4 linked regions of the Struthio camelus genome follow. The protein of the gene in region 4 interacts with the protein of the main gene of each other region in a pairwise test. Links are inferred from orthologs where the notes say so. Each region holds a gene or a part of one and is shown on either strand. Other genes may lie near its edges.

Region 1 (6,867 bases), on a different chromosome or scaffold from region 4:
GGGCCACCTTCAGCAAGGAGCAGGGTGCCTGTAGAGCAGCTTGTTTTACACCACTTGGAAAGTAAGTGCTCTTACACCTGTAAGAGCATAGCAGCACAGCCATCTGTGCATAGCACGGCTGGTAGTTTCCTATGGGTCTCGGCTTCATACCACCTCTGTTTCACCTTGCCTGCAGGGGACAGACCTGCCCAGAGGATGTCCCCCACCTGCTCTTTGCCACTAAGCAGGTGCACTGTGAGCTATCATCACCTTCTTCTGAAGCAGTGAGCATTAGCCTGGAGGGGCCATGGTACAAGATGGACCGCTGGCCTGAGCCAAGCTGGCAAATCTGAGCTCCTTATGCTAACGGGGAGCTGCAGGTTGAGGCAGCCTGCCGAGCCGAGTGTTTCTCAGCTGCAATCCGCTCATACACACGTCACAACTAGTCTGTGCCTTTCCTGCTGACAAAGCATCCCCTGAGGCTCCTGTTGTCTTTTTCCAGCTTTCTCAAAGCTGTTGCCAGCCAGGAAAGCCCATCTATCTGGCAGAGCATGGAAGGCCAACCTAGCCAGCTCTCCTGCATCCTTTCCTTTGCTCCTCTTCTCTCAGTCTGCCCTACACCACATGTACCGTTGGCTGTGCCATGGCCCCTCATCCTGCTACAGCATCCTCCAGTGCTGAGCATCTCTTCGGTGTCTGGGCCTGAGTGTGTGAGGATGACTATGGAGGAGACCAAAGGCTGAGGGCAAGCACAGCTATTGCTTGCTGTTCCTGGTCACAAGGTGCCAGCCCTCCGCTGCAGGGGTAAGAGGAGGGAGGGTTTCCCAGAGCAGCCTGCGTTGGGGCCCCCATACCCCAGAGCAGGGTAGAGATTGAGACAGGGAGCAGGGGAACAACGGCAGGATGTGGGACAGGGGGGTTGCAGCCTGGCGGCACTGCAGGGAGGACTATCTCGCTGTGCAGCCGGAACAGAAAGGCAGTCCAGTCCTGCAGGAGCAAGCCACACAGGAGGGGCTTGGGTCCCCATCCCTGCCCTGCTGAGCCGTCTTTGCCACCTCCTTCCCGTCTCCCACCAGCCAAAGAGCCCTTCTGACAGTCACAAGGATCAGTACATTAAAGGAAGTGAAGCACTTGGCTATTACGATAACAGGGGATGAATAAAGCTCTGGAGGTAAAAGGGGAACAGGTCAAGGCGAAAAGAAAGCCCAGAGAGCAGCTTCCCTGCGGGGATAACAGCATGGGCTGAGCGGGATGGGCCCAGGACCCGGGCCATGCAGGCTGCGATCCCTTTGCTACCTGGGTGGTAGCTTCTCCCTGGGGAGTCTGTTACCCTCTCCTTTATTCCTTTAACTCCTTTTTCTTACATGGGGAGAAGGAAGGAGAAAAGGAGCTACCAACCAGCCTCAAGGCTCGCAGGAAGGTCTGTGAGTTGTCCCTCACTCCCACTGCACTGAGGGACAATTTGCCCAGAGATGCCAGATGTTGCTAACTGCGCTGTGCACTTTGCAATACTTGGCCATTTGTTCACAGGCTTTGCTGCTGGAGCTGGGAGCCTGCAGTGGCGAGAGCAGGCTTTTCAGTGTCAGGTCTCAAAGGCCTGAAGTAAGCACCTACAAAAAGCCCTCACATCAGGAGAAAAGCAGTCCTAAAATCTCCTTAAATATTTCCTGGATTTTCTATCAGTGATGTGGCTCGGGGGGGAGGGGGGTTTGATTTTGTATATTCAGAATCTCAGGGCAGACAGTACCCTCTTTCACCAGCCTTCCTCTCTCCCCATGCCACATCCGAAAGGGAAGCCCCCATTTTACAAAGAGGTATCCAGGGGCTCAGCTTTGTGCACGTAATTTTCCACCTCTTGACTTCCACGGAGGAACCCAAGAAGACAACTGAGGAAACGGCATGCAGGCAAGGTCAAGGCGTGCAGAACCAGAGGCATGAGAAACACCTTGAGGCAGGAAACGTGTCTACCTGGTCTGCTGGGAATGCCTCTTTTATATGAAGTAACGTTAACACTGCCATGAAACCTCGTTAAAGCTCTTAGTGAATGGTCAAGGAGTAGCATCAGGCATCCTAGGCGCGTCCTGTAGACCCTCCAACTGCTCCCTGTCCCTGTAATAAATACATGATAGGGCACTGTGGTAAATGTAGCTTATAATGAATAGGGGGTTAGCCAAGGTTAACAACAAGCGTCCGCTGCTTGCATTACCACCCTTTTCTCTGCTGCTTTGTTCTGTCTGCGAAGCAAAGGCTGATTTAAGAGGGTGGTTGTTGGTGACACCTCTGCTCCCCAGCTCGCAGCAGGAGGAGGCCCAGGCTGGGCTGCTGGCTGATAACCTCCGGCTCAGAGAAGACGCTACGCTCGGATCCTAGCCCGCAGCGGGGAGAGCTGCAGCGTCTGGGCCAGGGGCAGGCAGGGCCAGAGGGGGCAATGGGTGCTCAGAGAGGTACCAGTGGGACCAGCCAGCACCTCTGGCACTCACCAGTCCACCCCAAAACCTCTCCCTGGAAGGCCAGCGTACCTGGCCAGCAGCAAACACCGCTGCTGCACCGCACCGTTAACACCGCCCCGCCACCTCTGACATTCGCAACAGCTGGCTGGAGACAGAGGTAGCCCTGCAGCTGCATTACGGGGCTCAGGCGGTGGGGACTTTCGTTTACTCCTATCCTGGGGGCAGACTGGACCTGATAACCTAGATACAGTCTTATCCCCTCCCCCTGCCTTCCCGTTCTTTGTCTGAGTGGCAACACGAAGGGAGGGGTGGAAACCGTCTGCTCACAACGAATCCGGCTTCCAGTAAGGAAAGGCTATTTAACCCCCATGTAATATGTCAATAGACTCACTGGAGGTCTCCTCCCGTTTGGCAAAAGACCGTCCTGCTCCAGCTGGAGGCAGCGATCCAAAAGCACGTTTCGCTCCAGCCCCTTCACCCATGTGGCCCCGGGCTCGTGTTCCTGCTCCCTGCCGATGCCACGCGTGAAGGAGGGAAGGCTTGGGTGCGTGAGCGCAGTTGCAGGAGCGGGCCCTACGCGGGTTACATCAAGTCCCTAGGAAAGCAAGCAGCTGCTGCTGTAGCACGGCTCTCCCTGTGGCCTGCAGGCAGTACTATCTGCTCCTTGCTTCGCATCTGCAAAGGTGCTGGATTAAGCATTTCTCCACTGGAAAACTCCCTTCCCCTCCGTTCTCATGATGATCCCCAGGGCATTTCTCCCAGCCATATGCTGCAAAGACCAAACCGCGCTGGACACACCACCACACCTCAGGATGCAGAACACAGGTATTTTCTTTACCAGGTCTTTTTTGCCTGGCCTAGGGACCACTGGGCGTTTTGAGTGAGGCCATGAAACTTATCCCAGCCCTTTGGGCTGCTGCAGCCTTCCTGGAGGCCGCCTTCCACTGGGTGCCCTCACCACTCTGCAGAGGGCTTGGGCAGGAGCCCGGCTCTGCCAGGGCTGCAGCGAAATCTAGGGCAGAAGCCTCGCTGGAAATGCAGAAGCTGGAGGTGAAGGGGACTGGGCATGTCTTCAGCCCAGCTGCCACAGGGTCAGTCGCTGCCTGCTGCCCGAGTGGGGATCACCGCATCTCCCTAGCTGGCCACCCCAGCATGTCCCCGTGTCCCACCTCCCCAAATGCCTCTCCCCACACCCATGCCTCGGCACCCCTCAGGAGGAAGCTGTCCCCCTTGGTGCCCGCACCGGGCTGCGCCGTGCAGTCCTTGCCCGCGTGCCCCGCAGCCCGGGGTCGCAGCCTGGGCAGCAGGGCTGTCCCATGAGGCGAGAGGGTGCCAGGACGCGGGCACCCCGTCCCCCTGCAGCTGCCTGTCCCTCTGCCCTCCAGCCTGCCGGTGCCGGGGGGTCCCTGCCTGCCACTGGCTCTGGAGCAGATGCCCAGGGAGTCGCACAGGACGTTCCCACTGCCCTGACGGAGACAGCTTGTCAATGTAAGGGACAAGCCAGTTGCAAAGCAGCTTGGGGGCTTTTCCCAGCCCTGGGCCGGCTGGGGTTATATCTTTCTTTCAGAGCAGCCCCTGGCGACAGCTACCCGGCATCAGCACCACAGCCGCCCCTGCTCTTTCTCCTTGATGCCAGACTGCTACCATAGGAAGAAAAAAAAAATAAAACCTCACACACCAGGACCAATTTCTTCCACTGCCCTTTGGAGGAGATATTCACCCCCAAAGACCCGAGCTTGGCAGCGTGGGGGTACCACGGAGAGTGCATGCACAAAAAGCCCAAGCGTCCCTCCAGCATCGCCCAGCCCTGCCAAGCCCAGAGCATCCTACCTTTGAACATGAAGCTTCCTTTGTCTCCGATTACTCTCCCAAGGGGGTGGGTTTCCCCCTCAGTTTTCTAGCCTGACGCTGGTGCAGCGCGGTGGGCTATGAAGCTCTGCTTTTACCTCTCTCTTTCTTTCCTGTCCTCTTCTCCCCCCTCTCCTTCCCCTCCTTCTCCAGTGGCTATTTCAGCTGAGCGGGGATGCTGGTGCTGCTCCTGCTGCCATCGTCATGTGACCTGAATATTAAACATCGCTGCAAAATCTCCCCCCCGCGCGCCCTCCCCCCCACCCCCCGCCCCGGCTCCATCCCAGAGCCTGCGAGAGCCTCCCCGCCTGGGTGGGCAGGGCAGCGGGGCTGTGGGGGCCACGAGGGACGGGCTCCACGCATCCGGGGGGGCCCCCCACGCACACGCATGCCCTCCCCCCCCGCCGTCTCGCACCGCACACATGTTTCCTTGCTCTTTCCCTCCCTATTCCCCAGGGGTTTGGCATGCTGCTGTCCACAGAGCATCTCTGGATGCAGCCACTTGTTTATGGAGGGGGATATTTAACCCTTTGCGGTTTTGCTCCGGCAGAGCTGAGAAATGCCAGGGATCCTGCTCCCTCTCTCTGTAGATATCTACCTCTTGGGTTTAGGGGATTGCGAGGCCTCGTTCTGCTTTCCCAAAGAGAGGGAATCGGGGACAGCTCGTCAAAATCAGTTTGCCCTTCAGCTCAGCTTGTGGAGGCGTGAGAAACCTTTTCTCCTTTGGCACCATGATTCCTGGCCGTCAGCCCCTGGTGCAGAGGCAGAGTGCCAGCCGTCCCCTCTGTGTGTGTGCGCGTGTGTGCACGCGTGTGCGTTGTAGGGAGCGGGGAGCGGCGCCGTCTGCAGGCCGCGTCAGCAGCATCGGCACGGGCAAGGCGGCGCGTGCCGTTGTGTCAGGGTGCGCAGATCACATCTCCGCGTGCCCCCGGAGGCACCTGCGCCTGCCGGTGCCCGTGTGCATGTGTCAGGGTGGACGTGCCTGCTGTGTCTGCAGAGCTGTGCGGATGTGCCCGGCTGCATTTCTGCCAGGGGCTGGCGTGCCTGGAGGGGGATGCCCCTTCCTCCCTCCGTGTTTCCTTCTCCTACAGTCTGCTGGCTCGTTTCCTTCTTTTCGCGGAGCGCTCCGCTCCGCTCCGGTGACGGGGACGGGCCCAAAGCGGGTGCCGTGGGGAACGGCCGCTGGCTCTCCTGGTGACAGGGACGTGGGGGGACGCGAGGCAGGCTCCGAGCTCGCCCCTCCGCTGCCCTCCCTCCGCGCTGCTTCCTCTCAGGGGATTATCCGCAGGTCCCAGGATTATCCCGTGTGCGGCTCGGCTCCCCCAGGACCAGCAGCCCCACAGCGACAGCCACCTGCATCCCCAGCGCGTCTATCTGGGCCAGATCCGACCTACGGCTCGGTGGCGCAAAGGCAGCGTCCGGCACATCGCCACCTCAGCGGGTCAGCGGCGTTTTCTTTTTAGGACTCGTCCATGCACCCAGACTGGCCTGCCCAGGCCTTTCAGGGACGTCCCCACGTGTCCCTCTGCGGTGCGGCCGTCCCATCGGCGGGGGCCCGGCTGCGGGGCGCCCAGTAGGCTTATTTCTCATGGAGAGTTTTGAACACCTCCTTTTCCAACAGGGAAAAAGAAAGCTGTATCTACTGTGGGTTACGGGGGCATTCAGAAATCACCCTCCGTACTGAGAAGCTGCTCGGGACAGTCTGAAAAGCCAGCTGCCTTTAGCAAACGGGTGGATAGAGGCACCCGCCGCCCTCACAGCAGCTTCTGACCCGTCACAACCACCAGGTGTTTCTCCTCAAAACGTCGGCATCACGGAGTATTTGGCTCACCTTTCACCTGCTGTTTATCCACAGGCGCCGGTGGTTGTCCAGCGTGACCCAGATGCCGAGGGGAGACATTTCCGAGGCAGAGGAATCGCCTTCACCCCCACCCCGTCCCCTCGCACGCTCTCGCGGGGGGAACACCCCCGCGCCCTCGCGCCCCCGCCTCGGACTCACGCGCCGGCCGGGCCGAGGGGACCCACCGGTGCTCCCCGCGCTCCCTCCGCCGGCGCTCGCTTGCAGCCCGGTGCCTGGCGTCTTCGCCGCCGCCGTCTCTGCACCGCCGGGGTGGTCGCGCCGCGGCCGAGGGAGGATGGGGGTGACGGGGGCCGAGCCCCTCTGGGTGTCGGGGTGCGGGCGAAGCACTGCCACGGGCGTCTCCCCCCGGGGCGGCGGGGCACCGCTCGGCCCCTCGGCCCCGGCCGGCCTTTCTCCACCACCCAGGGGCGGCCGGCGGGGCGAGGGGGCCAAGGCGGGGAAGGGCTGGGGCCGCGGCCCCGCTGCCGCCATCTCGCCAGGGATCGGCACTTCCCGGCCGGCCGCGAGGCGCTGCCGGTCCCGGGGGGTCGCCCAGGCGCTGCGGCGGAGGGTCACCAAGAGGGAGCTGCGTTTGGTCAGCGCCGGGCCGTTGGCCGCAGCCCGCGGCGGGGGCCTGGAGGCCGGGGGGACGGGGCTCGGCTCGGCGGTGCCGGGCCGGGCGCCCCCGCGGCCCTTGGCGAGGGCAGCCGGCGGGGCAGAGCCCGAGGGCAGAGCCTCGGGGGCGATTTC
Region 2 (7,045 bases), on a different chromosome or scaffold from region 4:
AACCGCTCGCGGCGTTTTGAACGGCCGGGCCCGCGCCAACCCCCCCTCCCCAAAAAAAACACCCGGGTTTTTTTTTTTTTTTCAGCAGGCGGCAGGGCGGGCCGGCAGCGTCGACGCCGCCGGTGAAACCTCCGTTTTTTTGCGGATTTTTTTGTTTTTATATATATATTTTTTGATCTATATATATATATTTTTTTCCCCTCCTGGGGGGACTCACCGGTGGCTCCACGATGGCTTCGTTTCTCTCGGTTTTGGGTTTGTCCTCCTCCGGCGAGGCCGGCTGGGTTTGGCTGGCCTCCTCCATGCGGGCCGGCTGCCCTCCGTCCGCTCGCCGTTCGGGCCGGGGCGGGGGGGCTGCGGTGGCGGGGTGGGGGGGCGGGTGGGAAAAGTGGGTGAAATGAGACAACGAACCAAAATGCGGTGGGGAAAAAAAAAAATGAATTAACGGGGATTATTCGGGCCGCGGGATCACCCGCCAGGCACCGAAATCGGCCGGACGGCCGATTTCGGTGCCTGGCGGGTGATCCCGCGGCGTGGGAAAAGAGTCAGCCTGACCCCCCCCCCCTTTTCCCCGGCGGGGCTCCCCTGCTGCAAATTTTCCAGTTTTACCAAAAAAAAAAAATCACTTTTTTTTTTTTTCCAAAGAAATTTGGGCAAATTGGGAAATTTGGTTTTTCACCCTAGGGAAACTGAGGCAGCGCCTGCTCCGGTAGGGTCGACCCCTGGGGGCTGTGTGGAGGGAGGAAGGGGGTAGCCGGACCCCCCCCTTCCCCTCCGGTGCGATCCGGTACCGGCGCCGCTCACCCGCCGCCGCGCCCGCGCCATGTGACACCCCCGGCGCGCCGCGCCCACCGCCCCGGCCTCCCATTGGGCGGCGCCGCCACGCCCCCCCTCTCCTATTGGAGCGCGCCGCCGCCCGTCCCCCCCCGCCGGGGCACGCCTCTCCCTCCCTGGCGAAGGGCATGCTGGGAGTTGTAGTCCTGCTGGCTGCACCCCCCCCCCCAAAATCCTCCTCCCGGTGGGGTGGGGAGGGGAGGACGCAGGGGCGTGCAAATGTGGGCGCGCGCATTCAGGGGTGTGCATGGCCGGGGGGGGGGGGCGTGCGTGTGCAAGTGGGTACATGCATGTGCAAGTGGGTGCACGCGTGTGCAAGCAGGTACACGTGTGTGCAAGCAGGTGCATGCATGTGCAAGCGGGTACACACGTGTGCAAGCAGGTGCATGTGTGTGCAAGCAGGTGCATGCATGTGCAAGCATGTGCGTGGGGGCCCCCCCCCCTCGGTGGGCGTGCATGCGTGCACACGGGTGCGGACAAGGTGCATGTGTGCCTACTATGGGTGTGCGTGCGGGCGCATGTGCGTGCACCTGCGGCCGCGCGTGCACGGGGCGGCGTGGGGGGGCTGCGCATACACGAGCGCCCGCAGGTCGGGGTGTGCGCCGGGCATCGTTTTGTGCTCAGCCACCTCTAACCGGCCACTGCTTTCGGCCCCCAAAACTGAGTTTTAAACCCCCTCCTCCAAAAAAAAGGGGGTTTTAAAGGGGGTGGGTGCCGGGGTGAGGCAGTTTGCTGCGCTGTGATTTCGCCGGCTCGGATTTGGTGCAGTGCCGGCTTACTGTCAGTGCGAAGAATTAAAAGAACGGCTGACGTTATTTCCTCTCTTTCTGGTTATTGCTGCGAAAGAGCAGGAAACGGGAGCAGTGGCCCCAACGCACCCTTTGAGGGGGGGTCGGGGGAGGGCCAGGGCGCCGCATGCTAGGGGAAAAGCGGCAATTTTGGGTAAACCGCTCAAAGCGGTGGGAAAAAACCGAGGCTTTGCAGCGCCGCCTTGCCCAAGCGCCCAGCGGCTCACCCGAGCCCGCCGGGCCTGAACTGGGCGGCGGGACCTCGCCTCCTGGGAAAGGGGCCAGGAGGGTCCCGGGGGGGACCCGGACCCAAACTGGCTTTTTTGCAGCATTTTTTTCAGGCAGATTCTGCTATTCTCCCCTCCTCGTCCAGGCCTTGGACCCGCTGGGCTCGGCGCTTCCCGGCAGCGCACTACGTTTCCCAGGGCGCCGCGCGGCTTTTGCGAAAAAACGCAGCGGGGTAATTTCTCGTTAGAAAGAGAGCAAAAAAAAAAAAAAAGAAAAAAAAAAGAAAGAAAAGTAGGGGAACAAAAAATAAAGTAAAAAAAAAAAAGCAGCAGAAGAGGAAGAATCAAAGCTTTGAGCGTCATGTCTAGGAATAGCACGGGAGCGCTGCCAAGTCATTACAGCGGATGAGTAATCCACTTAAGTCATTCCTCTAAAGCCCGCTCCTTGTAAGAGAATTAAAATACCGCCTTACATCAGCCAGCGCGGCCCGGGCGGCGGGCGCCGCCGCTGCCCCGGTCCCGGCCCCGGCTCCGGCCCCGGTCCCGGCCCCGGTCCCAGCTCCGGCCCCGGCCCCGGCCCCGGCGGCTCCAGCCCGCCCCGGAGACGGCTTTGTCCGGACCCGGGTGCTGGAGCCCCGGGGGGGGGGTGCTGTTCGGGACCCCCCCACCCTTATAGAGTAAAAAGACCCGTTTCCGCCACCCCCGGAAAGGTTCGTGCCGTCCTCGTCCCGTCCCCGCACTCAGGCAGCACTGCCGCTCCGTGCGTGCGCTGAGTGTGTCGGGCCTCAGCTGCGCGGGGTGTTGGGGGCGGGGGGGGGGGGAAGCGCTCTAGCGGGGCTGAAGCCTGCCGTCAAGTCGTATCCCGAAATCCTTCCCGGTAGCATCCCGAAGCTTTCCCGGTCCGGTCGCCATCGCGAAATTCCTCCCCCCTCTGCCCGGCCCCGGGTCGCCCGAACTCACCGGCTTCAGCGGGCGAGCGGCGGGCGGTGCATCGGCGAGGCCGGAGGAAGAGCGCTGTGGTTTGCTTGTGTTACTTCTATCGGGGATGAAGGGCTGGGGGATGAGTCATCCCCCACTCAGGGAAGTGGCGTGTGTGTGTGTGTGTGTGCGCGCGTGTGTGTGTGTGTGTGTGTGTGCGTGTGTGTGTACATGTGCGCGATTGACTCTTTCGTTACCGGAACGCCCGGACTTTTTGGGGCTCTCGCCGGCGGGGAGCCCGCTGCCTCGCTGAATGAGTGTGCAGGGATTTCCAGCGCGGTTCCCCCCCACCCCGGCCCGGCTGCTCCCGGCCCGGTGCCCCGGCCGGGTCCGTGGCCGCGGCCGCTCCGGTCCCGGTGCCCCGCGGGGACGCGCTGCCGGAGCGGGGCTGCCGCCGGGGCCGGGCCGGGAGCGCGGCTGCGGCGGGCAGCGGGGTCATCCTGACCCTTCAGCACCTCTCGCTTGCACATTGCTTTTCCTTTTTCTTTTTTTTTAATCAATCCCTTTTTGTTTCGCTTTGGACGGCTGGATTATCCCGAGGCAGCGCCGCCGGGCGCTGGCAAGAAAATCATCTCAAACCGGCCATTCGGAGCGGAGATGGACTTATCCGCGGCCAGAGCATCCGTGCCCGGGGCTGGCCGCGGCGCCCAGTGTCCCCAGTGTCCCCAGTGTCGGGGGGGGGGGGGCAGGGGACGTGGCCAGGTCCGAGCTCCCGGCCGGGCTCGCAGAATCCCCCTCCGCCTTGCGCCGGAGCTGCGAAAGAGCCCCAAAAAAAATCCCCCGTGAGTCATCCCGGACCCGGCAGCCGGGGGCGCGGAGGAAGCAGAAGCGGCGGGACAGAGGGACGCGGGGACGGGGCGGGGGGGACGCGGCGGCTGCGCTCGCCGGCTCCGCGGGTGCGCGGCGGGGCGCCGTGGGAAAACCTCGAGCCGCCGGCGGCGGGCGGGGGGGGGGGGGGCAGCGGGAGCCGGCGGGGTTGAGGGGTGCCCCGACGGGCCCCGACGGGCCCCGATGCTGAAACCGGGCGCCGCGCAGGGCAGAGATGAGTGGCGAGGTGTTTCCGACGGCGGCGTTAACCCTTTCGTTACCGGAAAGCGCGCCCGCGAGGCCTGACTCAGAGCTGCCAGTCAGAGCGAGAAAGAGAAATCCCGCCAGTAAACAGCCTCCGGGTCCTCCCGGGCTGGGAAATTCTTCAAGGGACGGTGAGATCGGGCAATATCGATTTGTACAAAAGCTCAGCCTCGGTTTCCCCTAGCACAAAGCGCACCGACCGGCTCCCTGCCGCTTTCCTCCCTCCTGCTCCTCCCGGCAGGGCACAAGGAGCCGCATCCAGCTGGGCAGGAGGGTTTTATAGTTTTTCTTCCCACCCGGCCGGACACTATAATAAATTCCCTTTTGTTGCCCGCATGCCACTAGAGGACAGTGTCAGGCTGGAAATAAATTGCATTTGAGGCCTGTGGGGAGTCAAGCACCCGCAGGGTGGGCGCCAACCCCTTTGGGAAGACGCGTCCTTGCTTTGGACCATGAGGGATAGGAAGGTCCCTCCCAAAAATGTGTTTTCTCCGTGTCTTTGCATGGCCTCTTTCTGGAAGACCTGCTTTAGGGAATGTGAGTTACTGAGCTCAATATACTTTGGTTAGGCAGCAGTCAGGCTAAGTCTGGCTCTGTCATTGGTGTGCTGAAAGGGGGCAGTGCTCAGCCAATGTGTAAAACAGGCAGAGACCCGCTGCTTTGCGGCAGGCTCCGGGCCGCACGGTGGTTTCATCCCACTCCTCTGAAAGCTGGCCAGAGAAATGGGCTGTTTTTCATGGAGGAAAGAGCCACCTCAGCAGGCAAGGAAAGAACAGGGCTGGCCTAAATTCCCCCAAACCCTGAATCTGCCAGAGGCACTCGGTGGTGCAGGATCAGTCTGGTCTCACATCGCATCCAAGGCTGCTTTGAGCTCAGACTAGCGACGTCCTAAAGCCTCTGCAGCCTCGATTATCCTGTGATGCTGCAGGGTCTCCGGCTGCTCCATCCTGGCACGCGGGCTTGCGGCCAGCAGCACCTTATTTTTGGTGCTGAGGGTGTGAGAGGCAGCTCCAGGGCAAGCCTGCAGCCAGGACCTACCGAGGAGGAGAGAAAGGAAAAAAAAGAAAAAAGAAAGGCGGGTGGTCGGAAAGCCCCGGGATGTGCCTGAGCGCACGTGGCAGCGAGCCAGGCCGGCTCGTGAAGATTCGAGGCCGCACTGCTATAACAGTGGCTGATGAGCCGACGGAGAGGTGCAACCCGGCTCCCCGATGGGTCCGCTCGCCCGAGCCGCAGCGCCAGGACGTAACCTCCCTGGTGGGTGCAGGTCCGGTCCCGGTCGATCCGGCTGAATTTCCCCCTGCAGTGATTTTTCCCCCCCCCGCTACTGGGCAGAGAGAGAAGGCCGCAAGGCGCAGTCAAGCCGACGGCTCCTCGCCCCAGCGATGCCTCGGCTGGCCGGGCTGACGGAGGGGGAAGCAACCGGGTCTCTCGCGAGGTGATGACAAGAGCAAAGCCGTACGCAGACACCTCCCTACATGGGTAAATGCTGCCCGATGCATCTGGGTTTAGGTATAAATACAATGCTTTATTTTAAACTGCATGTCTAACTATGTATTATGAAAAGAAAACCATAAACTATATCCCTGTACTTAGGTCCTGGGGGCACAAATAAGCTTTAACAGCCCTGAGCAGCCTCACCTAAAGCTTCACCTGCACCCATGGGTGCAGGGGCTCTATTTAAGCTCAGCTGGAGGCTTTTAGCCTCTATTTAGCTGTGCTGGAGGGTGCTGGTCTCCTGCCTGGCTGCAGCCATGCCTGGCTGTGTCCGCTGCCGAGCCAGCCCTGCTGGGGACCCCGGCGTGCATGCATGTGCACACGTGTGCATGCATGCTGCACTCGCCCAGCGCATCGGCTTGGCGAGGGGACAACTTAGTGGGTGTTTGCGGGAATAAATCCCTTTTAGGGCTTTTGGGCTGCTCCCTGGAGCATGCACCGAGCCAGAAGCCTCCTGCTCATGCTGAGCAAGGCCAGACCATCTGCACGGGCACCTCTGCGGCACCCGGGCTCGCAGCGGCACCTCTGACACGCCTCTCCTCCCCGGCACATCCTGCGCAGCCCTGTTCGAGCCGGCCCCCGTGGCCACCGCCGCCGAGCCCGCTTCCTGCGCGAGCGAGGCAGGAAGAGCGAGAGGTTCCCGGCCGCCCCAGGAGGTCCCCGTCCTCCCTGGATGGAGGTGGCAGCCTGCCCCAGCTCATCTCTTTCCCCCTAAAAACACCTTGCCCCATGGCTTTCTTCCGGCGACTTTTCCGCTTGGGCACGGAGAAGAAGAAGCCAAGGCGCTACCAGCATGTCAGGCGGGACGTCAACCCTGAGGACGCGTGGCTGGTGCTGGGCGAGTTGGGCGACGGCGCCTTCGGCAAGGTCTTCAAGGTAGGCGACGGGGAGCGAAGGGCGAGCGGCCCGGTGCCGCCGGCATCGCAGCTCGGCGCAGGCTTCCCGGCAGTCCGGCCACGGATCAAGCCCGTTCTCCTGGGAAAGAGCTTCAGAAAATGCCTGCAGGACTTTGTTTTGGAAATGGCACCCTAAATGCTTCCTTTTTTCTCCCCTGCAGCCGTGGTCAGTGCCACCTTATAGCCTTATAAGTGACGGTCATCGAACAGCATCCAGCACGCGCTGTGATAAGCTGGAAAGCCTCCAAATTGCCTTGGGTTTTTAGTGGCTCCCTTTGCTGGGAGGGAGAGGGCACACGATGGGGACGCTGGGGACCCCCGTGGCCTTGGGATGCAGCCGGCGGCTGCCTTAGTCCTGTTCGCTGGCACCGAAAGAGCCACCGCTTTCCCGGGGTCAAGCAGCTCCTCGGGCACAGGGCAATCGGGAACGGTCCCTTTCCAGGGTGCAAATGGGTGGCAGGAAGGACCGTTCCCTGGGGTGTTTCTGCATGAGGTTGGTTGGGGTTTGTCCCCTCCCCTCTTTTTTCAGCAGGAGATCCCAGAGCCGGGCACAGCAGGAACGTTTACATCCTTCGTTTTGCCGTGAGTTTGAGACAGGGCTGTTTTTTAATCTCTTGTTGTCACCACAACCGCGATGCAGAGGCTGAGCTCAACAGGAAACCCGCCGTGCTGCTCCCCGGGGCCCGCGGCGCCCCAGCAGCAGCCGCCTTCCGGCTCTGGGGCCCATCGTGCAGAGCCCTGGCGTGGTCGGTGCACT
Region 3 (6,317 bases), on a different chromosome or scaffold from region 4:
GGGCCTGTCTCCTCCGTGAGGCCACATTTCCCATGATTCATTGCTTAGCCTACGTGAGAAAGGTAAGGCTGGTGCATCGCAGAAGACATAGTTCAGCCACTGAGCTTGGCATCAAAAGAAAGGGACCAACAGGGCTCCAAACTCAGCTCCCAGTTGGAATCCTGGTTTTCAGAAAGTGCCTATCCCTCTGGTAAATATGGCCGTTCCAAGGTACCTCAGATTAAGTGAGAAAAGCATGAGCTATCTGTTGAAAATGTAGCCTTATTATTAGAAACTTTTAAAATATGCCGAAAAGCATGTTTTTCTGGGACTAGGCAAATTCATGACAGTTGCCCACTCCCATGTTATCAGAAGGGGAAACGCATCCAAGTGATACAAGAAAGTTTCAGAATAACACAATGTTCACCAGCTGGTTTTTTTCTTCAGATTCCACTGGGATTTTATTGAGTTCCTTGAAACAAGGAGAGGTGCTTTACAGGAAATTGAACCAGCAGGTTTAGCTGCAAGTTTCACATGTCTCCAAGCTGATATTCACTTGCCAGTATTTGTCCTGCTTCTTCGAACACTGGGGAAGTGATGGCACTGAGCTCTTTTTGCAGCATTTCCATTTGAGCTGTAATATCTGACACAGTGTTTTTCACGGCATTCAACTGCAGTCTCAATTTATTGTTCTCTTCTTGGAAGACTTTGTTCTCCTCCTGGAGAATCTGAATGTCCTTTTTCTCTCCAGAGGGAGCATAGTCCTCTTTCAGGGAGTTTTTCTCTCCAGAGGGAATATAGTCCTCTTTCAGGAAGACCTGGAGGGCTTGGTATAAGTTCTGGATGGCCTGGCCAATTGGATACTCACCCTGCATGGCTGGGGCACTCTTCTCATTCTGGGTTGGATTGGAGCTCCCCACTTCGTGTTCCTGCTGGGGGGCTAGATCAGGGTTACCTTCTTCTGGATCTGTGATAGTTTGAGTGTCTTTCTGAAGAACTGAGCTTGTGTCTTTGCTCTCTTCATGGACTGCAATGGCTTTTTTGTTTTTCCAAATGATGGGGAAAGCTTTATTCTGCTGCCGGAAGATCTCTAAAGCTCTGTTCTTTCCCCGGACAATCTGAAGAGCTTTGTTATCTTGGCTGATCTGAAAGCCTATGTTGCTGTCTGGGAAGATTGGGAATGACCTCTTTTCCTTCTGGAGGCCCTGATGAATAGTGTCATCATAAATGACCTTGACAGTCTTATTCTGCGCCTGGAGGCACCGAAGAGCCTTGTTTTCTTCCTGCAGCATGCTGTTTTCAATACGGAGAACTTTGTTTTCCTCCAGGAGTGCTCTATTCTCCTCCCAGATGCTCCATTCACTCTGTGTCTTCTTGCTGAAGTGCTTCTCGTGGGAAGCAAAGGGTGGCTGATGGTAAATTTCGTTCACCCATTTGCCATCAATAAAGATAAATGTCTCATCACTCAGTTTCACTCGTGGGGTGGTACAATCTATGTCAGTCCTTGTGCATTGCATGTTGTGGTTCATCAGATCACAAGCAGACATGGGTTTTCTTTAGTAAACTGAGTAAGTCTGTGTGAAAACACTTTCTCCAGGACTTCCACGAGAGGCCACTCTCCGTTGGTAAATGACACAGGGGTTTTGGAGAAGCTTTATCAGGACTGATAGAAAAGGGAACATAAATGCACGGAATTATTACCAAAATTCAAGGTCCAAATTAAATTACATTAGATAACAGAAACTAGCAAAGAAGTAAGTTCCCACAATCAACTGTGTTGCCTCCTTGACACTGGAAGGTAGGGAATACACCAGAAACATAGTTCATAAAATCTGAGAATACTGGCACTAGTAGATTTACCAGTGCTATGGCAACACCACGAGCTTTTATGCAAAAACCTTGACTCTCCTTTTATCCCTCTACCTCATTTTTACAGACATGTAAAGAGTTAAGATGTAAGAACACCTCAGAATTGTCCTTTCCTTGCTGACCAACAGGTAAACGAATACCAGAATCACAGGATGGCTGAGGGTGGAAGGGACCTCTGGATATCATCCAGTCTAACCCCCCTGCTCAAGCAGGGTCACCCAGAGCAAGCTGCCCAGGACTGTGTCCAGACAGCTTTTGAATATCTCCGAGGATAGAGAATAAATTAATTAATTAAAATAAATTATGGGGCTGGAGACAAGTTTTCAAAGATGCCTAGTAAGACATTTTTAAAGGATGAAAAAATGTCATTACTTTTGAAACTGGCCCTAAGAGCAGCTTTTTCCAGTGGATGCTCAGTAACCTTTGCTAACAAGAGGCCACAAAAATATGATGGCAGCCGTGTTTTTTAATCTTAAAATTGACAGCACCATCAATAGGAAGAACACAGAATGATATAGTGTGCACAGATAATTAAAAATCTAAACCACAGCACTGCGCCATCGGGACTGGAAGAGCTCTATTGCTCTTCACGTATTCTTCTGACAAGTTCCTATCAGCACGTTCCAAACACTGTCGCACTCCATACATAATTCTCCATCTTTCCTTCTCATTTCTCCACAGTTTCTCTTATCTTTGTATTCTTTGATAGCTCCATTACGTCTCTCACATTCTAGGTTTGCAATAGCAATGTGTCATCGCTTTTTTTACAGTTGTTCTGCCTCTTTCTCACATCACCAGAAAACTTATCACTTCAAAATCCATCCTGCTAAGTTGTACCTCCAATTCTTCTCATTTCAATTGCAGAAAACTCAGACTCATCTGTTCAATATCCTTTCTCTGTTTGTTCTGCCCAAAATGCTCCTGGCCAAATCACCTTCTAGTCATAACTAAACTTGGAGAAATGAAGGAATTCAGTGTGTTTTCATGAACACAAAATGCCAGATAAGTTTTATGCCAAAGAAAGTCTTATTTTCTGCAGTTCTCATCAAAATAAAATGTGTTCCCGTAAAAATAAAATACATGAAATTTTCAAGATGAGATGAGGTTAAACTGTTTTTTATAATAAACTTGTTTGAATGTCTTGTGTGTATGTATTTTTTTTTAAAGCTAAATCTCTGCAATGTGCCTTCTTCTAATTAGAAAAAAGAGGTTGGCTGTCAAATTTCACCTAGATCTACCCTCTTCCTCCTTGAATTCCTCCAGCTGCCTTACTGTCCCTTATGAAATCCAATTCTACCTGTTCAGCTGGTGAGGAGAATTTTACCTTCACAAACTTCATCTCCATACCTTTCCATAAAGTGTTAGGCGTGCTGTTGACACTGGGAAATGTAACTCACCAACTCCTCATCTCTTCCAGCTCTTTCATGACATTGTCTCCCAGCACCTCTGTCCTGCCATGGTCTTTCCTGTCCACAAAGTCTTCTCCACTGCTCTTTCCCACCCCTCTGCACTGTCTACCATGCTGCTTCCTGTTGTATTGTTTCTCCTAGCTCCATTTGGCTCCTGAAAGCCAGCATCACATAACTACTTCCTTCTCCTCCTCCTTCCCAAGTTTATCCAAAAATTCAGAAAATTGTTGGTGGTACTTTAAATCCCCAAACCCTTAAAGCGAGAGTGAGTTTTGGAGGGAGTTGCAATATAGGTTTGTTGCAATAATATGTGGTAGAGTTTGTTGTGGTAGGGTCTCAGTCTAGCTCTCAAGGTTGTCTTCTGCATCACTGTATGTTTTATCTCACATCAAACTAGCGTTTTCATTATATTGCTCTGCTAAAAAGGATTTCCCACAGTATGCAACAACCTTGCAATTTCAAAGTTCATTTTTTCCACTTGTGTTGTGCTTTCAACTGTGTATTTTTCCCTCTTACACTCCTCCACAGCCATTCCAACTTGCCCGATGTCCGCTTTCATGCTCTGGGAGCTCTGCACCCCTCTGCGGGAAGAAGGGTGGCGAACATGTCTCCCAAAACACTCCCTGACATGGCTCCTGCGATTTTGCAGGCCTAGGTTTTCATCAGATGTTTGCACCATCAACCCCAGGGCTGAAAGGAAAGTCAGCCAAGGAGAGAATGACCCCAGACGCCCCTAAATATCCAAATAAGAAACAGAAAATATAGGTATTGTGAGCCAAGACACACCTGCCAGTGAGTGGCTTGGGTAGGTGGCTAGAGCTGTTAAAATCACTTATATTTAAAGTGTTTATATGGCATGTTTTCAGGACAAACAGAAACATTTAATATATTCGGTATTGAAGGACATTATCTTGGGGACAATTAAACTTGACAGCATCTCTGTCAGCTCTTTTGCACTGCAGTAAAGATATTGACCCACGCTTCACAGAGGCATTTCAAGTTCTCTCAGGCTCTGTTATCATTTTCAAGTATTTCTGAACTAAATAATCCCGTAAAAAGGCTGGGGAACTGAGATGGGCAGGAAGGACAATTTTTTTGAGGGAAGCTGCACAAAATCAGGCTGAGCTAGGTAATTCAGCCGTAGTAAATGAAGCATTGACACATACTCACCTGCTTACAAAAGTCGGTCGTGTTCCCTTTCCCTGCGCTCTTGCCAAACAGCCCTGTTTCTAGCTGCTTTTTTGATTTGAGGCAAGAGGCTCAAGATTGCCCCAGCTTCTCCTCCTCCTAGCTGGTTCCCTGCCTGGTCCCGCCAGTGCCAGCTCACATGCATGGTATGTAACAAGGAACAAAGGCGCCGGACTGTGACACGACCAGCAGTCACCACGCACCGGGGTGGGGGTAAGGGCGGCAAGCATCCCCTGACGGAGAGTCGGATGCACGCAGATACCGCCTTCCCACAACTCACTTTTTGCTCTTTTGTCCTTGATTTTCCCCAGCAATGCACAGTTGGGTTATCTTTCACGGAAATGACCTTTCTGTATCTCAGCTCTCAAGCCCTTTCCTGAACCCAGACTTCCCTCTATCTTTGATGCTCATAACTGAGAGCAGTTTAAATAGATTGTTCTTCTATCACATTCTTTTAAAACATTTTTTGTTTTTATTCAGAATATTCAAATTATGTTTGCTGCTGAATTGGTACTGATGCTCAAAAATAACCTCCATGCGTGCACTGTGAGACCTGAAGTCACTTTGCAAAGAGAATTTGAGTCTGGAGTTTTTCTTTGACTATATGTTTAAAAGGAGAGTATCACTGAACCCTATTAAGAAGAAAACAGAATATGCAGGGCATCCATGCATTGTAAGTTTAGACGTTATTTGTAGCAGCTATTCTCACTTCTACATCTTTGCGTTTCTAATGATCTCATTTTCTTTGTTATTCACTACATCTTTAAGATGTAGAATAAATTTTTTTTCTAATCAAGATTCTTGAATAATAAATAGCGCTCTTAATTTCTTTTCCAATGAACATTACCCACCTGATATCAGCCCCAAGGTGAGTGTTATTGTTCTAGGAAGTTGCAGACGCAGTTCAGCTTTGGTGTTATGCAAAGATGATAAACTCAGGTATAAAATTCTTCTCTGTAATTTCTCCCTTGCTTTTTTTTAATCTCAGACAACACAGGAACATCACAGGTTACTATGGTAACTCCCCAGGGAACACTCTCTTCTTTTCAAGTTCAGGTATCCTGCAACGGAAAGCAGAAAAGTATCCTTAAAGGACAAAGGAAAATATTTTATCATAGGATGTTTGCGCCTAGTCTGCCATCAGATGGGAGCTCAAGGGTGCTACCTAGACGCAGCAGTTTTTAGGAAAGATGGCAATTTGAAATGGGTCATCTGTATTTTTGAAGGACTGAGACTGTGGGCCACTAAAACAGACCTTAGATGAATGTTTTAAGGTCTAAGAGCTGACTGGATAGTGAGTTAGTGGAGACAAGCACCGTGAAGTACTAATCAGAAGACAAAGCCCGTGTAATCCAGAACTACCAAGAACTCAGTTAGCAGTGTACCGTTGCCTTTTCTTAATTTTTCTACGCAGTATTTTCCGTAAAGCTGGATAAAGTTCTTTAGGCAAATCATTCATTTGCTAAAAACTGTGACTTCAAATACTAATGTATTTGGGCCAGATTTAGTGACCTGCATCAGACACATGTTCATGTATGTGAAGACATGCATTCAAATTGGAAATGCTGCAACAGTTCACTGCAGAATTTTTTATACCGGCTACGCAGATTTCTGAGCTGGACTCCCGAAAGAACTTAGATGTCATTCACAAAACTACAAAGGCAGAAATAATGCTGAGTATTTTCACCTCCCTGCCAAGATACAAATAACCCCTGCTCCAGGAGAAGGGTTTGAACCAACTTCCCAGCTGAGCGCTTTGTCCACAGCTTTAGACTTTTCAGTTTCTCCAGGTGAAGCTATTTCACTACACAATCAAATATTAATTGAGACCTAAGTCACGTCCCCCATCCTACTTACACAGCTTACACCAGA
Region 4 (6,183 bases):
TTCCGGCGCAGCCGGCCCAGGACCACGGCCCTGCTGGCCTGCGCAAAGCTCGCAGCTCAGCCGACCTCGCTACGGAGCGCAGACCACATCCCCAGCACGTCGGTGAGAAACAAACCTCCCTCCTGCCCTGCCACAGCCGGAGGCTCAGACAGCTCCCGGGAAGCGCGGGGTGATCCGGGGGCCTGCAGGAGGGAGCACGTCTCCCGTCTAGCCCAGGATGGCACAGCAGAGGCTGTTCTTTCCGCAGGCGCCGAGCAGAGCGGCTCCGCTCCGGGCCCCTGCTGCCGGGCCAGCGCCTGACATCCTCCCAGGAAACACAAACTCAGGAGCTGAGTCAGATTTGGAACACGCGAGTGGTTTGGCAAGAAATCGCGCAGAGCAGAAAGGCGCAGGCAGCTGCGTGCACAGAGAAACACGCGCAGGCAGGCAACCGCTGCATGTCCGCACCTCGCCGGGCGTACGCGGCGCTCGCGCAGCGAGGGCGCGCACAGGCCGGTGGGAGGCTGAGGGAGCTCCCACTCGGTCTGCGCTGCCTGCCTGTTCCCCCACGCAGGGCCTGCCGCAGCCGGCCAGCCGGTGCTTCGGGGCCAGCAACGAGCAGAGAACGCAAGATCCAGCTCTGTGCCAGCAGCTCTTCCTCCGGAGCTGCCCCGCACGCCCCCAGGACACGCAGCGCCTTGGGCAGCACACGCGGTGGAGGCAGACATCCCTTCCCGTCCCAAGGCACGGGGAGCAAAGCAAAGAGATACGCTGGCGGTCACCCAGCAGCTGGGTTTTTCCCCAAACAGTGCAGGAAGAGTAGTCATCGCTACAACATCACTTGGCATCTACACATTGCTGCGTGCAACCTCCTCTTCCTCCTCCGCAGCCCTGAACGTCGCTCCCAGAGGGGCAGGAAGGGCTGCAAGCCTGCAAAGCCGCGGCTCGGCAGTCAGCAACAGCACTCCGGAGAGGAGGCACCGCAGACTCCTCGGAAGAGAGGCAGGGAGAAGCCAGCGGAGACCAGGAGAGGAGGCTGGGGCCCTGCCAGCAAAGGGAGAGAGGAGGCACGATCCGTCACCAAAGCCACCTAGCCCTCCACCGAAGTCCCGAGAGCTGGCCGGCCTTACCACGTACTCCATCGCCGCGGGAGGGCAGGGCAGGCCCCAGGCAGGGAACAGAAACACACAGCCCCTCTCGTCTGGCAGACCAACCTGCGGTTCAGGGACAAACAGGGAGTTAGGCGGCCCTGCCCCCAGACTGCCGGGGAAGCGGCCCTCACACCAAGAGGCAGACCCTGCAGCTTCTGGCTGACAGCATGCAGAAAGGGGCTGTGACAGCCGACAGACAGAGGAGACAGCCCTGCAGCGCTGCCAGCCCGCGGGAGCGGGACACCCGGGGAGAGCCTCCTCCTTCCCGACGGCCTGTGCCCCAGCACCGGGTGGGAGGACGTGCGACACCGTCCTGAGGAGCGCAAGAGCGGGGATGCTCTGGGGCCCCTCTTGCCTAGGGCAAGAGCACGAGGCCGACCCAGAGCGGGTCGGGGACAGACCGAGTACTGCTCAGAACCGGGCAAACGGTGTCAGGGGCTGTCTGCCCGCCGAGCGGGGCAGCAACACAAGCAACAGAGGCAGAGAACACCTCGCCTTCAGACCGAGGCAAGCACTGGAGCCGATCCCTGCCCCAGGCAGCCGCCAGGCCCCAGTAAACAGCGCCTGGAGGCCAACACGCCCCAGGAGCAAAGGCAGAGAGCGGAGGCGGTCCGGAACGGTGGAGCTCCCCACTCCTTCCCATGGGCCAAGCACTGAGTCACCCCCTTTGCTGGCATCCCCACTTTGAAAGGATGCCTCAAGCCCTCACGGTGCAGCCACCTCCTCCTCAGGAAGCGGTACAAAAGGAGCAGGGACACAGCCGTTGCCCCAGGCTCCGCAGGAGACCACAAAACAGAGCCTGGTGCTAGGAAGGAGCACTGGAAAGCAGCTACAAAAGGGGAGACGTGTGCAGAGCAAGGAGGGGCAGGAAGCTCAGGGAGAGGGGGGGCAGCAGCTAAGGTAAAGCCAGGCAAGAGGAGCAGGAGCAGCTCGCTGGGAGCCCCTGCCCTTCCCCGCTCTGCTCCCACCCCCACGGCACAGCAGACGTGGTTGGCTCGAGAACGTGCCAGCCAAGCAGAGCAGGGAAGCAAACATGATTTACTTCCTTGTAGCAATTGTGCCCTTATCTGGGGCCTGCAAAGCCAGCGCTGGAGCCCAGGCGGGAGCTAACGTGATTAGACCAGGAGGCAGCGAGATAAGGAAGGCCCCTTTGGCAAGCGCAGCGTCGCAGACCTGCCCTGGGCAGGGCCTGGCTGCAAGCACCCGGCCAGGTCACTCACCGCGAAGGAAATGCAATAACAAGGCCTTTGTATTCCAGGAGCCAAGATTAGCGGCGGGGTCTGGCGGAGGGGGGGGGGGGTGCGGGAAGGCGAGGAGGAAGGCGGCCTCACCGCAACTGGGGGGCAACGCAAGGCTAAGAGGAAGGGAGGGAGCTTGACCCAAACAGCAGGCCCAGGGGGACACAGTAGCCCTCAGACACAGGGCAGCACAGCGCCCGGCTGGCAAAGACCACCGTGCCTGCCCAGCCGCAGGAGCCTACTTCAGCCTAGCCGAGCCAAGAGCCCCCATGAGGGCTCCCAAACAGCAGCCACCACACCACAGCATGAACGAGGAAGAGCTCCCAGGCGCAGGGAAAGAGCCGCTAAGGGAGGGCATCGCCCCACCATGCTGGTTGAGCAACGCGCGGGGAGGCCCAAAGTCTCCCAGGAAGGCCGCGGCAAGATCAGGACAAGACACCACGTCACCCGGCTCCCAGCCGGAGTCCATCCTGCCTCCAGCCTCACAGAAGCAGGCCTGCCAAGACTCTTGGATGCCTAGTTGCACACCTGAGGTGACACACGGGCACCCAAGTCCGTCAACTGAGGATGAAACATTGCCCCGCGCAGCTCCCAGGAGCGCAGGCTCTCTTGCGGCACAGGGTGTCCAGTGCGCAGGCCAGGAGCAGGCTGGCCAGCCCACAGAGCTCCTCCGAAAAGGCTGCCAGGGGAGCAGCAGACCCTAGGCATGGCCAAGTAGAGCTGCAGGTTCCTAGGACGGTTCCTGCTAAGTTGGGAACAGACAGCATCTCCTACAAACCACGTGCGCCTTGGAAACGGGTCAAGCCTGGGACATCTCTGCGGAGCGCTCCAGACCAGAGCCGTCCTTCGCACAACCCTATTAACCCATGGCGCAGGACCAGGGTCGCCTCTCCTCAGAGCTCGAGTCCGCCAACGCAGCGCGGCGCGCACGGCGGTTCACCCGAGCCGGCCCGGCGCTGGGCACCGGGGCACCCCCGCGACCTAACTACAGGCGCTCGACCGCGGGGACAGACGCAAGGCAGAACAACGCCGCCGGGCACCGCCGCGGGGGGCCGAGGCAAAGGCCCTGCAAGGAGGGATGTCAACCCCAGCGCGGAAGAGCTGGGTCCGCTCCGGCCACCTGCCAGGCGCGGCGGGAGGGCTGCGCCCCAGGCGCTCGGGGGGCCGAAGACCCCCCCCCGTGACAGCGCCTCGGGCTCGGGGGGCGGACGGGGTTTTGGCGCAGCGTCGTTCCGGCCGGTCTTCGGGCCCGGTGCTGGCGGCAGCCCCTGGCGGCCCGGCCGCCGGAGGGACCGGCGCACGGCAGGCCCCAGCGGGAGCGGCCCTCGAGCGACAAAACGGGGCGCCGAAGCCGCCTGAGAGACGCCGGGAGCCTCCTGCTCGCACGGCCCCGGCGCCGCCGCCTCTAACGGGTCCGGTCCCGGTTCCCCCCCCCCCCCCGCCATCCCCGCGCCTCCGGGGCCTCCAGGCCGCTGCCCTGCACCGAGCGCCCCGGCGTCCTCCGCGGGCCGGGCCCCGCGCTCACCGGGGCACCATGGGTCTCGCGCCGGGCTCCTCCGCTGCCGGCGGCCGCGGCTCCGCCACCGCCTCGCGCCCCCCTCCTCCTCCTCCTGCCTCCGTCCGCCGCCGCCGCCGCCACTCGCTTCCGGCCCCGCGCCCTCCAGCGCGGCCTCACCGCGCCCCCGTCACGTGACGCCGCTGCTACCGCCGCGACCGCGGCCACCCGGCCCGCGAGGCCGAGGCGCCCGCCGAGCCAATGAGAGCGCGGCGGCCCCGCCTGGCCGCGCGGGCTCCAGCCAACCCGCTCGCGCGCCGCCGCGTGACGCGCGGCCCGCCCCGCGGCCGGGGCCAATAGGCGCGCGGGGCGGCGGCGTTTGAAAGCGCCATTGCGGGGGGGGGGGGGGGAAGGGAGCTCCAACGGCCCGGGCGGTGCGGTGAGGAGAGGAGTGGGGCGGGCGGGGGCTGCCGGGAAGGGGGCGGACCGCACCGGGCCGCAACGCGGGCGTCATGGCGCACAAACAGATCTACTACTCCGATAAGTACGACGACGAGGAGTTCGAGTACCGGTGAGGCGGGGGGGCCGGGCCCGGGTCGCTGTGAGGGAAGGCCCAGGCCGGGGGGGGGTTGTCCCGGTACCGGGTCGCTGTGAGGGAAGGCCCAGGCTGGGGGGGGGGGTGTCCCGGTACCGGGTCGCTGTGAGGGAAGGCCCAGGCTGGGGGGGGGGTTGTCCCGGTACCGGGTCGCTGTGAGGGAAGGCCCAGGTGGGGGGGGAGTGTCCTGGTACCGTGTGGCTGTGAGGGAAGGCCCCAACTGGGGAAGGGGTTGTCCCAGTAGCAGGTCATCATGAGGGAGAGGCCTGAGGGGGTGCCCGGTACCGGCTCCCCGGGAAGGAAGGCCCGAGGAGGTGGGGGGCGGTCGCGTTACCGGGTCGCTGGGAGAAAGGCTGAAGGAAAGCACCGGGTCACGGCAGGGCGGGGGGGGGCCCTGGCACCGGGTGCCTGGCAGAGAATCAGGGGGTGTCCTGGTGCGGGGTCCCGTGAGGGACGCTAGGGCAAGGGGTCCCGGTATCGGGTCCCCGGTGGAGGCATCGCCTGGCTGAGCATCTCTGGCACGCCAGGCATGTCATGCTGCCCAAGGACATCGCCAAGCTGGTGCCCAAGACGCACCTGATGTCGGAGTCGGAGTGGAGGAACCTGGGCGTGCAGCAGAGCCAGGGATGGGTCCACTACATGATCCACGAGCCAGGTGAGCCGTGCTCTGGCCGTGGGCACAGCCGACCCCCGGCAGGGGTGTGAGGGGAGGCTGACGTTGTCCGTAACGTGCTCTATTCATCCTTCCCGCAGAGCCTCACATCCTGCTGTTCCGAAGGCCACTGCCAAAGAAGCCGGAAAAGTGAGCGTCTGTGGACTGGGGCTGTACATAGACCTCCCTCCCCTACCTGTCTGAGTCTCTCTCTAAAAAAGCACCTTTTCCTTCTTTCCTGTGGCTCCTACAACTCTGAGAAGCGTATCCACACACGACCGTGCTCGGAGATATCCGCGGGCGTGGCTGGTGGCAAAGACTCTGCTGCGTGCCCCATCCCCGTGTGAGCGCCCCGCTGCGCAGGAGCAGGCGGCTGTTTCTGCAGGATGCCCGAGGCCGGCTGGAAGGGCCCGAGCTGGCAGTTACTCAGATGGGCACCGGCAGCGCCGCCTGGGCACGTAACGGCAGCCGCTTGTCCCCGGGCCGGCGCCGCTCCTGCAGGCGTTTCTCTGCTGCGACACCTGAGTCCCTGCTGCGACACCTGAGCTTCAATAAAAAGGACGTTTCGGAGTTCTCTGTCTGCCTTTGCTCCTCGGGGGTGCTGGCAGGAGTCTGGGGGGCTCCTGGTGTCTTGGGGGGTGGGTCTGGGGGGCTCCCGGTGTCCCAGCGTGGGTCTTGGGGGCTCCCGGCGTCCCGGGGGGTGGGTCTGGGGGCTCCCCGTGTCCCAGGGCAGCCCCACGGTGGGTCCTGGTGGTGCCCGGGGTTTCCAGGTAGGCTGGGGGAGGTCCTGGGAGGGCTCCCGGGGTCCTGGTTGGCCCCGCGGGGGGCTCCGGGGCGCTCCCGGGGTCCCCGTTTGCCCCAGGGCTCCCGGTGTTACCGGGGCCCTTCGCCCGTGCCACCGCCCCCTGCCGGCCGGGCGAGCCCACGGCCACGGAGGGGGGCGCAGTCCCCCCCTTCGGCCGCAATGGTTCAGTCTGCGCGGCCACCTGCTTCCTGGCCAACCGGCGCTCTCGTCGCGCCGTGACGGGCATCCCTCCCGACCAACCGAGAGCGAGAGGGCGGAGTCCTCCCCT

What was found.
Region 1: the proteins of CKS1B (region 4) and SEPTIN3 interact in binary tests that used the Homo sapiens proteins (3 or more experiments, as listed by UniProt). The two-hybrid records come from large-scale screens. The link is inferred for Struthio camelus from reciprocal best matches to the Homo sapiens genes CKS1B and SEPTIN3.
Region 2: the proteins of CKS1B (region 4) and ARID5A interact in binary tests that used the Homo sapiens proteins (3 or more experiments, as listed by UniProt). The two-hybrid records come from large-scale screens. The link is inferred for Struthio camelus from reciprocal best matches to the Homo sapiens genes CKS1B and ARID5A.
Region 3: the proteins of CKS1B (region 4) and CBY2 interact in binary tests that used the Homo sapiens proteins (3 or more experiments, as listed by UniProt). The two-hybrid records come from large-scale screens. The link is inferred for Struthio camelus from reciprocal best matches to the Homo sapiens genes CKS1B and CBY2.

The regions. Positions count from the first base shown.
Region 1 is NC_090942.1:56,466,596-56,473,462, forward strand, and holds the start of SEPTIN3 (neuronal-specific septin-3), read right to left. Parts: upstream 3,011-6,867; 5' UTR 2,912-3,010; coding exon 2,821-2,911; intron 2,089-2,820; coding exon 1,948-2,088; intron 1-1,947. UniProt on the Homo sapiens protein: Filament-forming cytoskeletal GTPase. May play a role in cytokinesis.
Region 2 is NC_090968.1:1,207,632-1,214,676, reverse strand, and holds the start of ARID5A (AT-rich interactive domain-containing protein 5A), read right to left. Parts: upstream 3,018-7,045; 5' UTR 2,810-3,017; intron 355-2,809; 5' UTR 305-354; coding exon 218-304; intron 1-217. Other genes in the region: STE20-like serine/threonine-protein kinase, read left to right, coding at 5,702-6,268. UniProt on the Homo sapiens protein: DNA-binding protein that may regulate transcription and act as a repressor by binding to AT-rich stretches in the promoter region of target genes.
Region 3 is NC_090942.1:191,153,369-191,159,685, reverse strand, and holds CBY2 (protein chibby homolog 2), read right to left. Parts: upstream 1,778-6,317; 5' UTR 1,527-1,777; coding exon 510-1,526; downstream 1-509.
Region 4 is NC_090971.1:4,300,433-4,306,615, reverse strand, and holds CKS1B (cyclin-dependent kinases regulatory subunit 1), read left to right. Parts: upstream 1-4,258; 5' UTR 4,259-4,375; coding exon 4,376-4,434; intron 4,435-4,985; coding exon 4,986-5,113; intron 5,114-5,211; coding exon 5,212-5,264; 3' UTR 5,265-5,680; downstream 5,681-6,183. Other genes in the region: uncharacterized protein, read left to right, coding at 1-102, 248-802.